Sus scrofa: one gene and its partners. The protein of the gene in region 3 purifies or fractionates together with the protein of the main gene of each other region. This does not show direct contact. Links are inferred from orthologs where the notes say so. Each region holds a gene or a part of one and is shown on either strand. Other genes may lie near its edges. The genes, in order: MFN2, MFN1 and MARCH5.

Region 1 (3,366 bases), on a different chromosome or scaffold from region 3:
ACAACGAGGCCCAGGAAAGCCCAAGGATGGGCCTGAGTATGAGCAGCAGGACCTGAAGCCAGGACTCCTGACTCCTTAGACCCATTCCTGCTCTAGCAAACCGCCAGTGGTCGCTCTGGCTTTGGGCAAAGAGCCCTGGCACATCTGGGCTCTGCCAGTCCCTGGCTACCTGGCCAGCCTGCCTGTGGGCACTGGTGCTGATAGGCTGCCGTGCCTGGGCTCACAGAGAGATGGTGCAAAGTGAGGGTTCCCGGCCACTTGGGAGACAATACAGGACAGCCAACGTGTGGTGGGTCAGAGGGTGCGGGAGCCTCAGCACACCCGGCTTCTCCCACTGGCTTGACTGTCTACTGTGGGGTCCCACATGAGGTATCAAACCTCTGTAGGCCTCAGTTTTTCTTTTCATAAAATGCAAGTGATGATACAGCCCTGAAGAGACGGTGAAGATGGGGACAGCAAGTGTCATGTGCCCGAGGGGCTGCAGCTAAGGACGTGCCCATGAGCTGTCACCTCCCAGGACGGGGCTTCCTCTGCGGCCTCCGTGGCCAGCCTCACCTGAGCAGTTTGGCTTTGCTCTGAAGTGAATCGAGAACCTCGATTTTCCTGTTCATGGCGGCAATCTCCTGCTCCAGGTTCTCCCGGGTCACGTCGACTTGCTGGCACAGGTGAGCAAAGGTTCCAGACAGCTCCCTGCATGCGGAGAGAGTCAGGATCAACCAAGACATGCAGCGGCTGCCCACGAGGTCTGTTGGTGGTGAATCCGATGGCGGGCAGGGCAGCAGCCAGTCCACCTGTCACGCTGGCAGCTGTGCCCTGTGCCAGTCCTAGGCCCGGTCTGGCAGACTCTCCCCCCACCCCCTGCTGAGACGGTGGACATCATAACCAGCGCACACACCAGCACCACCCGGAGGGAGGGCCAGGAGCACAGGGCACGACGCCCCGGCTTGGGCACAAAAGTCCAGGACTCAGAGCCCGGCCCTGAGTCAGCCAATTGCAGGACACATGTGACTCCTCTTCAAATCTCCATTTCCTCATTTTGAAAAAAGGAGATGCCTATAAAGACACCTCCCTCAAAGCGTTCAGGGAGAAAAAGAAAAAATTAGGTGCAAAATGCCTAGCAGTCTGGCACATAGCAGCAAAAGGCAGGCAGCTAGCACCTTCCCCCTTGCCCCCCAGATCAGGTGATCCATCCCACATGACCTGGGATGCGCCACAAAGAACTGGCTGTGGCTCAGAACATCGAAGCTATACCCACACCCAAGCCCTTCAAGGGAACCCTCAAAAGATGCTACAAGTAATGGCCCTCATCCTCCCATGTCTTCTCTCCTTGGAGGACCAAAGGCCTAACTGGTCCCAGCCCAGGACACGAGGTGTCCCTAAGAGACTCCTCTCCCATCCCTGGCCTCCACACTGGCACTGCGCAGCTAGAGGCTGAGTCAGACAACGCTCAGGGCTACGGCTTCCAGGCCAGGCTAGAAGGGAAGCTGGGGGGCGTCCTGAACCACCCTTGGGGCTGACGGGGCCACTCACTGCTGGACTTGGTGGCTACAATTGGAGCCGGTGTAGCTGATGATGAGCTGCAGCTTCTCGCTGGCGTACTCTACAAACTGGCGCTTGAAGGCCCTCTCCTTGGCCTTGGTGGTCCAGGTCAGACGCTCGTAGACGTAGAGGAGGCCATAGAGGCCAAGGGAGAGCGCGATGAGTCTCCAGCCCACAGCCTTCCACACCTGCAGAGGCACCGTGTCAGCCGCCTCGGCCTCCCTGCCATCCCGCTGCCCATCTTCTCAGCCTGCTGCTGCCACAACTTTCCCAAGAGCCTCGGTCAGGGAGCCTTTGAGTTTCTACTCAGAACACGCCACCCCCAGGGCATGCAGAACTTCCCAGGCCAAGGATCGAACCCACATCACAGCAGTGACCACACCAGATCCTTAACCACTAGGCCACCAGGGAACTTCAAGAACTATCCTTTCAGTGTCTTCTTTGGTCCTAATGAGGTCAGAAGGGCAGGGACCATCTCTAGTTTGGAAATAAGGGAAGCTTAGTGTGGGCCACGTAATACAACTTGTACAAAAGGTGGGGGAGCCACCTCTGTGGCTTTGAGGACCAGAAGCACAGGTCCAGGCAGGAAGAAAAATTTTTTTTTATGGCTGCACCCACCATACGGAAGGTCCTGGGCCAGGGAGTGAACCTGAGCTATAGCTATGGCAACACTGGATCGTTTACCCACTGTGCCGGGCTGGGGATAGAACCCACACCTCCACAGCGACCTGAACTGCTGCGGTCAGATTCTTAACTCACTGCACCACAGCAGGAACGTCAGCAGGCAAAAATCTTAAAGACAAATGCTAGGTATTCTAAAGGGACATTCCATTCTGGCGACAACGACAACAAGCAGAATCCTGCATGTCGTTCCCCAGTAGATGGCTTCTTTTGGTCTGGTCTGTAATACTTTGGTTCAAGGCAGTGCAGTTACAGTCAAAGAGCACTGGACTTGGAGCCAGAAATTAAGGCTCTAAAACTGCCTGCAATCCTGGCTGTGTGACCTTGGGCAAATCTGTTTATGCCTGTCTCCTGCTAAAATAAGACGAATGGCTTCCACCCAACTCCCAGAGTTGTTTGGGTAAAATGAGACACTGATTATAAAAGGGTTTCATAACCATCAAGGGTCAGCTTCTCAGCTAATGACCTTCTGCCAGGTCACCGGCTATGAAAAAAGAACCAGAGCATGTACCACCTGCAGACCAGAAGGGGGTGGCCTCGGCTCCAGCAGACCCTAGTTTTACCAGCTGAGAATGCAGCTCCTGGCAATTCAGTTACAATTAGGTTCTGCCAGCATTCCCTAACGGCATGAAGAAAATTCAAGGCATAAGTTACTCTGGCTGCAGTGTGTCTTGGGACAAGACTGGGGAGTATCCTGGTTATCAAGAAGGGGTACCCTCGGTCATCAAGGAGTACCCTGGGAGTTCTCTTCATGGCTCAGCGGTTAACGAACCCAACTAGGATCCATGAGGATGTGGGTTCAATCCCTGGCCTTGCTCAATGGGTTAAGGATCTGGTGTTGCCGTGAGCTGTGGTATGGGTCGCAGACACAGCTTGGATCCTACAATGCTGTGGCTGTGGCACAGGCCGGTGGCTACAGCTCTGATTCGACCCCTAGCCTGGGAACTTCCATATGCTGCAGGCACGACCCTAAAATAGCAACACCCCCCACACACACAAAAACAAAACAAAAAAATGAAGGTGTACTCTGTTTATCAGAAAGAAGTACCCTGGTTACTAAGAAGGAATATGCTGGTTATTAATAAGGAGAACCCTGGTTATTAAGAAGGGTACACTGGTTATCAAGAAGGAGCACCCTGGTTACTA
Region 2 (3,652 bases), on a different chromosome or scaffold from region 3:
AAGGGAACTCCTCTAATTCTATTTTAATTTTACAGCAACGTACAAGAATCCAGAACTTGACCAAGTAGCTGTTGAGGATGACTTGATAGAAATACAGAGGTATAAAAACAAGCTTTCCGTTATTGGCGAGGTGCTGTCTCGGAGACACATGAAAGTGGCATTTTTTGGCAGGTAATCCTTTATTATTTTTTTTCTCAAGGGTAGTTTGCAGAAATTAACTTTTCTTGGTCATATCTGCAAATTCATTTCTGATATTTCTGCAAGTGATAGCTTCTCCCTCCACCTTTTCTCTTCACAACATTTTCAGCCTGTGTTAAATGTTAAAAGTTTGTTTTAGCTCCTGGTGTAAAATAAAGCTTAATGGAGTTCCCATTTTGGTTCAGTGGGAACAAACCTGACTAATATCCATGAGAATGTGAGCTCAATCCCTGTCCTTGCTCAGTGGGTTAAGGATCCAACATTGCCACAAGCTGCAGTTTAGGTCACAGATGGGGCTCAGATCCAGTGTTGCTATGGCTGTGGTATAGGCCGGGAGATGCAGCTCTTACTCGATCCTTAGCCTGGGAACTTCCATATGCTGCACCTGCAGCCCTAAAGAAAAATAACTACATAAATAAATAAAGCTTTATGAAGGTCAATCATATTTTTATACTTTAAGGATACTCATCTCTAAGAATTGGCTTGTTAGACATTATACATATAGAAAAACAGGTAAGTGACAAGTATAAAATTTGTGACTTAGGTTTTTAAGCTTCTCTGATTACCAGTGTGTCTTCCAAAAGAATTTTCAGCTCCATGATTCCCAGAGGGAAATAGGAAGTACCATTCCTCAGTGTAACTTCCAGAGTGATAAGAGTGATTTCTGCCACAGCTTATACATTAATTTAAAGGGTCAGGGAGTTTCCATCTTGCTCAGTGGAAACAAATCAGACTAGTATCCATGAGGATGCAGCCGTAAGCTGTGGTGTGGTTGCAGGTGCAGCTCAGATCTGGTGTTGCTGTGGCCAGCAGCTACAGCTCTGATTTGACCCCTAGCCTGGGAACTTCCATATATGCTGCGGGTAGCCCTAAAAAGACAAAAAATTTAAGGATTATTTGTTAACTGTGTATGTATGTACCAACCACTCTGTTAAAAACAGTCACTAGGCCCTTAGCTTGGTTGTTCAGATATCATGAGCCATATACCAACAGAGGGTTTTATTTATTCACTGAACTAACCTTGTAGGCCTTCTAAGCTATTTCCTATATCTTTAGCACTTGGAATTTCCTATGCCTAGAATTCTCTTTGCCTTGTTCTATGTCTGGCTCCTCACTCTTTCAGGCAGAAACTTTTTCTGACCACTCTCAGTTATTCTCTACTAAAACAACCTGTTTGTGTTCTTGAAAACTTTTCACCAAGCTCTGGGTTTTTTGTTTTGTTTTGTTTTGTTTTATGTTGTTTGTTTCTCAGAACTTACACAGTCTAGCATGAAGTAGGTCTAAGAAAGAGGCCCTACCTCAGGTTAGGATGGAGTCAGAGTGGGAGGGAAGAGGCCTTCACTGAGAAGTGATGTAATAGTTGTGTAAATCAAGTTGTCAACTTTTAATAAAAAAATGGAATCTGATGAAATTCACAGAATCTGCATTATAAAAATGTAGGCCTTTGAGCCAGTGAACAAAGTTTTTACCGTTATGTTTTGTCATGATTTTGTATATTCTTCAGGACAAGCAGTGGGAAGAGCTCTGTTATCAATGCCATGTTGTGGGATAAAGTCCTCCCTAGTGGGATTGGCCATACAACCAATTGCTTCCTGAGCGTTGAAGGAACGGATGGAGATAAAGCCTATCTCATGACAGAAGGGTCAGATGAAAAAAAGAGTGTGAAGGTATATGATTTGACCTTTGGCAACATAATGTACCTGAAGTAATGTCCTTAACATGTCCTTTTAAAAAATTTTTCACGAAATGGGTGCCTTGCTAGAGACAGAAGAACCATTAGTATTTCTATTCATAGCTTTTAAAACCATCACTAATATTTTTGAATTTTCTGAAATTATTTTGCTTCAGAGCTGAATTACTGTAAGAATAAAACTTGTCTTTAACTTAAAAGTAAATTAAAAATTGACAGGACACTGTAAACCAATTATAATGGAAAAAATAAAAATCACTAAAAAAAATAAATAATTAGAGGTCTTCACTGGTGGCCTACCAGTTGTCATTGCTGTGGCTCTGGTTACTGCTGTGGCTTGGATTTGATCCCTAGCTTGTGAATTTCTACATGCCTCAAGTGTAGCCAGAAAGAAAAAATTGAACTAGAATTAAAAGTTTATACTATTGGGAGTTCCCATCGTGGCGCAGTGGTTAACGAATCCGACTAGGAACCATGAGGTTGCGGGTTCGATCCCTGCCCTTGCTCAGTGGGTTAATCATCCGGCGTTGCCGTGAGCTGCGGTGTAGGTTGCTCTGGCATAGGCAGGTGGCTACAGCTCTGATTCAACCCCTAGCCTGGGAACCTCCATATGCCGCGGGAGTGGCCCAAGAAATAGCAAAAAGACAAAACAAACAAACAAAAACAAAACAAAAAAACAAACAAAAAAAGTTAAAAAAAAAGTTTATACTATTTTCACTTAGTGAAAAGAACATTATTAAAGTGTATTGTTGCTATTTAGTTTCAAATCTTGTCTTTCTAAGGAAAACTTTGTTTAAAAAATGGTCTCTGGAATCTGTTTTTGACACGTCTGCGCCTTTAGAAGTGGTTTTTGCCTTTAGAATATTTGGTAAGCATATTCATGAGAAAATGCTGTAGCTTTATCAGATAAAGGCCAGTGGTGATTTCTTATCCCTACTTTTCATAATGAGTTTCTTTTTTTTTTTTAGGGCTGCACTTGTGGCATATGGAAGTTCCCAGGCTAGGGGTCAAATTGGAGCTGAAGCTGCCTGCTTGCCCCACAGCCACAACAATGCCAGATCCAAGCCACAGCTGCAACCTACACCACAGCTCACAGCAATGCCAGATCCTTAACCCACTGAGCGAGGCCAGGGATCGAACCCACATCCTCATGGATACTAGTTGGGTTCGTTACCGCTGAGCCATAGTGGTAACTCCCATAATAAGTTTCTTAAGGAGTTAAGTGGCACTAGGTTTTTTTCAGCCAGAAGAAAAGAGAAAGCAATTAGGATGCAAGATGTTTACTCTGGAATGAAATCACTTGGTAAAGGCCCTGTGTCTCACTGTAGTCACTTTCTCTTAAGTCTTAAGATCTCTCCCACAAATGCAAAAGTTCAGTGTGTGAAGTTCCATGTCATTTTATTTTTGTCTAAACTGTAGGTGAATTCATAGATCTAGTCCTGTGGGTTTGCTGTTTGATCAGAGCAGGTAACTCAATCTGTGTAATAGCCTTTAGATTAGCTATGAGCAATAAATGAGATGATTTTTATGAAAATATATTTCTAACTTTTATATCCATACAAATGAAGGAATATCTTATTTTTTAATCAAGAATTTTACCAAGTCAGAATTCAAACTGCCTGTGACTTAAGATCCTCAAGGTCAAGTGTGCTATAACATTTTAAGGTAGTTATCTAATTTTTCCCGATCAGTGAGCTGTTCTTGCAGTCCTCTTTCTTCATCTCTTTTACTCTTCTCCCTGCTCCAGAATTTAAGTTTCTTTAC
Region 3 (3,652 bases):
AAACTATTAAGTATTCAGCATTGCACTGAGGACATGCCACTCTGGCTGTACTGTTTCCTCTTTGTTTTTCATCCACCCAGCGCTGTAGACAAGCCTGGTGAACCCATTTTGTAGATCCTCTGCATCTGCATGGTCTCACCCATTCAGCTGTTCTATCATCTTCATCAGTGGCAAAACATACCCAGCAACTTCTATAAATCAAAAGAGAAAATAACCACATTATCTTTAAGACCCCAGCCTCCTCTCCACTGCAACTCTCAATGGGATGAGTCTACTATGTTACATCATAGAACTTTCAATTCTATATTAAAAGACTGAGGAGACAAAACAACCAACACATTTCCAGTAGAGTGGTTTCTTCTTTTTGTTTTTCCTTGTATTCTTCTGCAGAATCTTAAACGTTTTCAGAATATTGTTTTTGTGTACTTCCTCCATCTTTCTAGTAATTCTTCACCTTCTCTAATAAACCAGAATGTAGAAACAATTCTCAAGCTGCTTTTTTAAGACCTAATAATTCTTTGAAGAGTGGTAAATACAAGAATATGTGAAATTCAGTGTATCTCTCATTTCATCAACATTAACCTCATAACCTCTTGAACTTGAAGAACTAAGGTAGTACACAAATTATTTCACATATGGTCTCATTCAATTTTCAACTAAGACAGGAAAAAACCCCCACTCATTTTTCTTTCTGGTAAAGTATGACTATAAGAGAGAAAGATGATTAAATTTAAAAAGTCCAAAGGGAAGAATGAAGACATCAAGATAAACTGTTTTAGGACAGTGATATGGTAAATTTGGGCCTACATGTTCTATTATAGGTATGACTGTTTTCTTTTTCTGTGGGAATTAAAAATTCTGAAATGATTAATTTTAAAACAATTTTCCTATTTCGGTTTTAAGAATACTTCATGAATTCTAATTTATTCTTGTGGAATCAGGTTGCAATTCCTTTTTTTTTTTTTTTTTTTTTTTGGTCTCTTTGCACCCACAGCCTATGGAGGTTCCCAGGCTAGGGGTTGAATCGGAGCTGCAGGTGCCAGCCTATGCCACAGCCACGGCAACGAAAGATCCGAGCCACGTCTGCAACCTACATCACAGCTCGTGGCGGCAATGCCTGGACCCTTAACCACTGAGCAAGGCCAGGGATTCAACCTGCATCCTCATGGATGCTAGTCAGTTTCATTTCCACTGAGCTATGATGGGAACTCCAGGTTGCAATTCCTTATTTGTTCTCCCAATTAACACAAGTTTTGACACCAATTTCCATTATGGCACATACAATTTAATTCAATGACACCATTCACTGCCTGCCCCACCATCCACAGTTAAAGTTTGACTGCACAAAAGGAAATAACTGCTAATTAAAGCTTGTTACCTACTGTGCACTTTTCATATAATTAGATAAGTGATTTCTGTCAAAACAACTAGCTAACTATGCACAGTGGGAAAGCCTATATATATATAGCTAGGTACTAGAGATGGGTGAGGTCTCCAGTCTTTGTAGAACAACATGAATTTTAATTGTGTGCTCCAATTAAAATTTTTCAATTAGAATAGAGAAAAAAACTGAACTGAATACATGGCAACAAGATCCAAAACATGCTTTTACTCAGCTTTCAAATTTAGGTTTCTCACATCTACCTAGGTAAAACTGGAGGTAGGTAGCATTTGTTTGAGCATGCTCTCTGATCCACCTCAGGCAAGCTGTCTGGGCCCTCATGCTATCTTAAGCTTATTCAAAAATGTCTCCTTCTCCACCTTCTGAAACTTATACTTTAACCATTTTTTAAGACTACAGTTGTAGCATTAAGTCATTCACACTGTTGTCCAACCATTACCACTACCCATGATTTGACTGGGTTTCACCAGTTTGTTTTTTTTCTCATAAAATTTCAATTGACAAGTAAGGAGCATATAGACCAGTTAATTGTGTTAGTACATATTTTCCCCATTAGGAAGGTGATTTTTTTTTTTTTTTCTTTTCTTTTTAGGGCCATACCAGTGGTATATAGAAGTTCCCAGGTTAGGAGTTGAATCGTAATTATAGCCGATGGCCTATGACACAGCCACAGCAATGCCACACCTGAGCTACGTCTGTGACAACGCTGGATCCTTAACCCACTGAGCGAGGCCAGGGATCGGACCTGCATCCTCATGTATCCTAGTCAGACTTGTTACCGCTGAACCACAATGGAACTCCCTTCTAAGTTTCTCATATCAACAATGGAACATAATCAGTATTAAGGTGAACTGAATTTTAAATTAAGCCAAATACCAGTCATTAGGAAATAAAACGTAAAAGAACCTTAATACTATGTCACATCAAATGAAATGGCCTTTGTCTGTTTTTTGACTTACATAAATAGCAGTTTCATATACTAATCTAATGGGAATACTTGTATATCTATAATCCCCATAAATTCTGGATAGATTTAAGTTTATTTTTCACCAACATTTTACAACAAAAAATTTCAAAGCTTCAAAAAAAGTTGAAAAACTGCTTCTGTTTGGTGAATACCATATTTGTATCTAGATTCTATGATTCTTTATCATTTTGCTATATATGTGCTTTACCATATATTAATTCCATCAATCCATCTTATTTTTTGATTCATTTCAGTTTCAGACATACTTTATCCCTGAGTACTTTCAGTTTTACCTTTTAGAAGGTACTCAACTGACATTTAAAACAGGATTTTTTTTTCCTTTTTAGGACCATACCTGCAGCATATGGAAGTTCTTAGGCTAGGGGTCCAATCAGAGCGGCAGCTGCTGGTCTGTGCCACAGCCACAGCCACAGCCATGAGGGATCTGAGCCGCATCTGCAACCTACACCACAGCTCACAGCAACACTGTATCCTTAACCCACTGAGCCATAATGTGAACTTCAAAAATAGGATTTTTTTTTTCCTAATTTCACCACTATGGTAGATAAGATAGTTGGAAAATGATACACAGTAAAAAGTTAGGCATTAAACCTAACTGGAAGTGTTAATACCAATAACCTTGTTTTATTATTGTTTTATTCATAGTGACAGTATACAGCTTACTAATTTGGATTTTGAAGCTTATGCTCACTAGAGATTAACTGAAATTATCCTACAGAGGAAATAATAATAAAGAAAACTTACTGATAACAATACTCTCAAAAAGTTTTGCTGAGTTTCAACATCTACCAACTTACCACATCCATTTCCTACTTATTTCAACTGCTTAACAATAAATCTGATGATGGCCATCTGAGATCAAATAGTATTACCCATAATATGTAAACTTCTGGTAACACCACCAAATTACTGGATCTAAATATTATAGTTTTGGGTTCCCTTGTGGGGCAGTGGGTTAAGGATCTGGCATTGTCACTGCAGCAACTCCGTTTGACCAATGGCCTGGGAACTTCCACATGCTGAGGAGCAACCAAAAAATAAAAAAAATTAAAAATTACAGTTTAGATACAAATAAACGAAGTGGAAACATCTAACTTAGTAACAGTACAAAATAAGTACACAACTGAAAACTACAGAAATTGACCACAATTTACTGAGCATTTATGATTCCATGTAGTTTCACTGGTTCCATGTGGCTACATAAACAAAATAAATGGAAGATGGTATCTACCTGGAAAACTATAATTTACTTGGGGCTACAT

Evidence for each region.
Region 1: the proteins of MARCH5 (region 3) and MFN2 purify together in Homo sapiens (affinity purification with mass spectrometry; 5 studies listed by BioGRID and IntAct, counting the BioPlex papers as one, with this or other methods). This does not show direct contact. The link is inferred for Sus scrofa from reciprocal best matches to the Homo sapiens genes MARCHF5 and MFN2.
Region 2: the proteins of MARCH5 (region 3) and MFN1 purify together in Homo sapiens (affinity purification with western blotting; 4 studies listed by BioGRID, with this or other methods). This does not show direct contact. The link is inferred for Sus scrofa from reciprocal best matches to the Homo sapiens genes MARCHF5 and MFN1.

What each region holds. Positions count from the first base shown.
Region 1 is NC_010448.4:72,050,408-72,053,773, reverse strand, and holds part of MFN2 (mitofusin-2), read right to left. Parts: intron 1,728-3,366; coding exon 1,531-1,727; intron 691-1,530; coding exon 556-690; intron 1-555. UniProt on the Homo sapiens protein: Mitochondrial outer membrane GTPase that mediates mitochondrial clustering and fusion. Mitochondria are highly dynamic organelles, and their morphology is determined by the equilibrium between mitochondrial fusion and fission events.
Region 2 is NC_010455.5:117,408,911-117,412,562, forward strand, and holds part of MFN1 (mitofusin 1), read left to right. Parts: intron 1-35; coding exon 36-171; intron 172-1,702; coding exon 1,703-1,865; intron 1,866-3,652. UniProt on the Homo sapiens protein: Mitochondrial outer membrane GTPase that mediates mitochondrial clustering and fusion. Membrane clustering requires GTPase activity. It may involve a major rearrangement of the coiled coil domains.
Region 3 is NC_010456.5:103,891,709-103,895,360, reverse strand, and holds part of MARCH5 (E3 ubiquitin-protein ligase MARCH5), read right to left. Parts: intron 192-3,652; coding exon 1-191. UniProt on the Homo sapiens protein: Mitochondrial E3 ubiquitin-protein ligase that plays a crucial role in the control of mitochondrial morphology by acting as a positive regulator of mitochondrial fission and as an important regulator of immune response.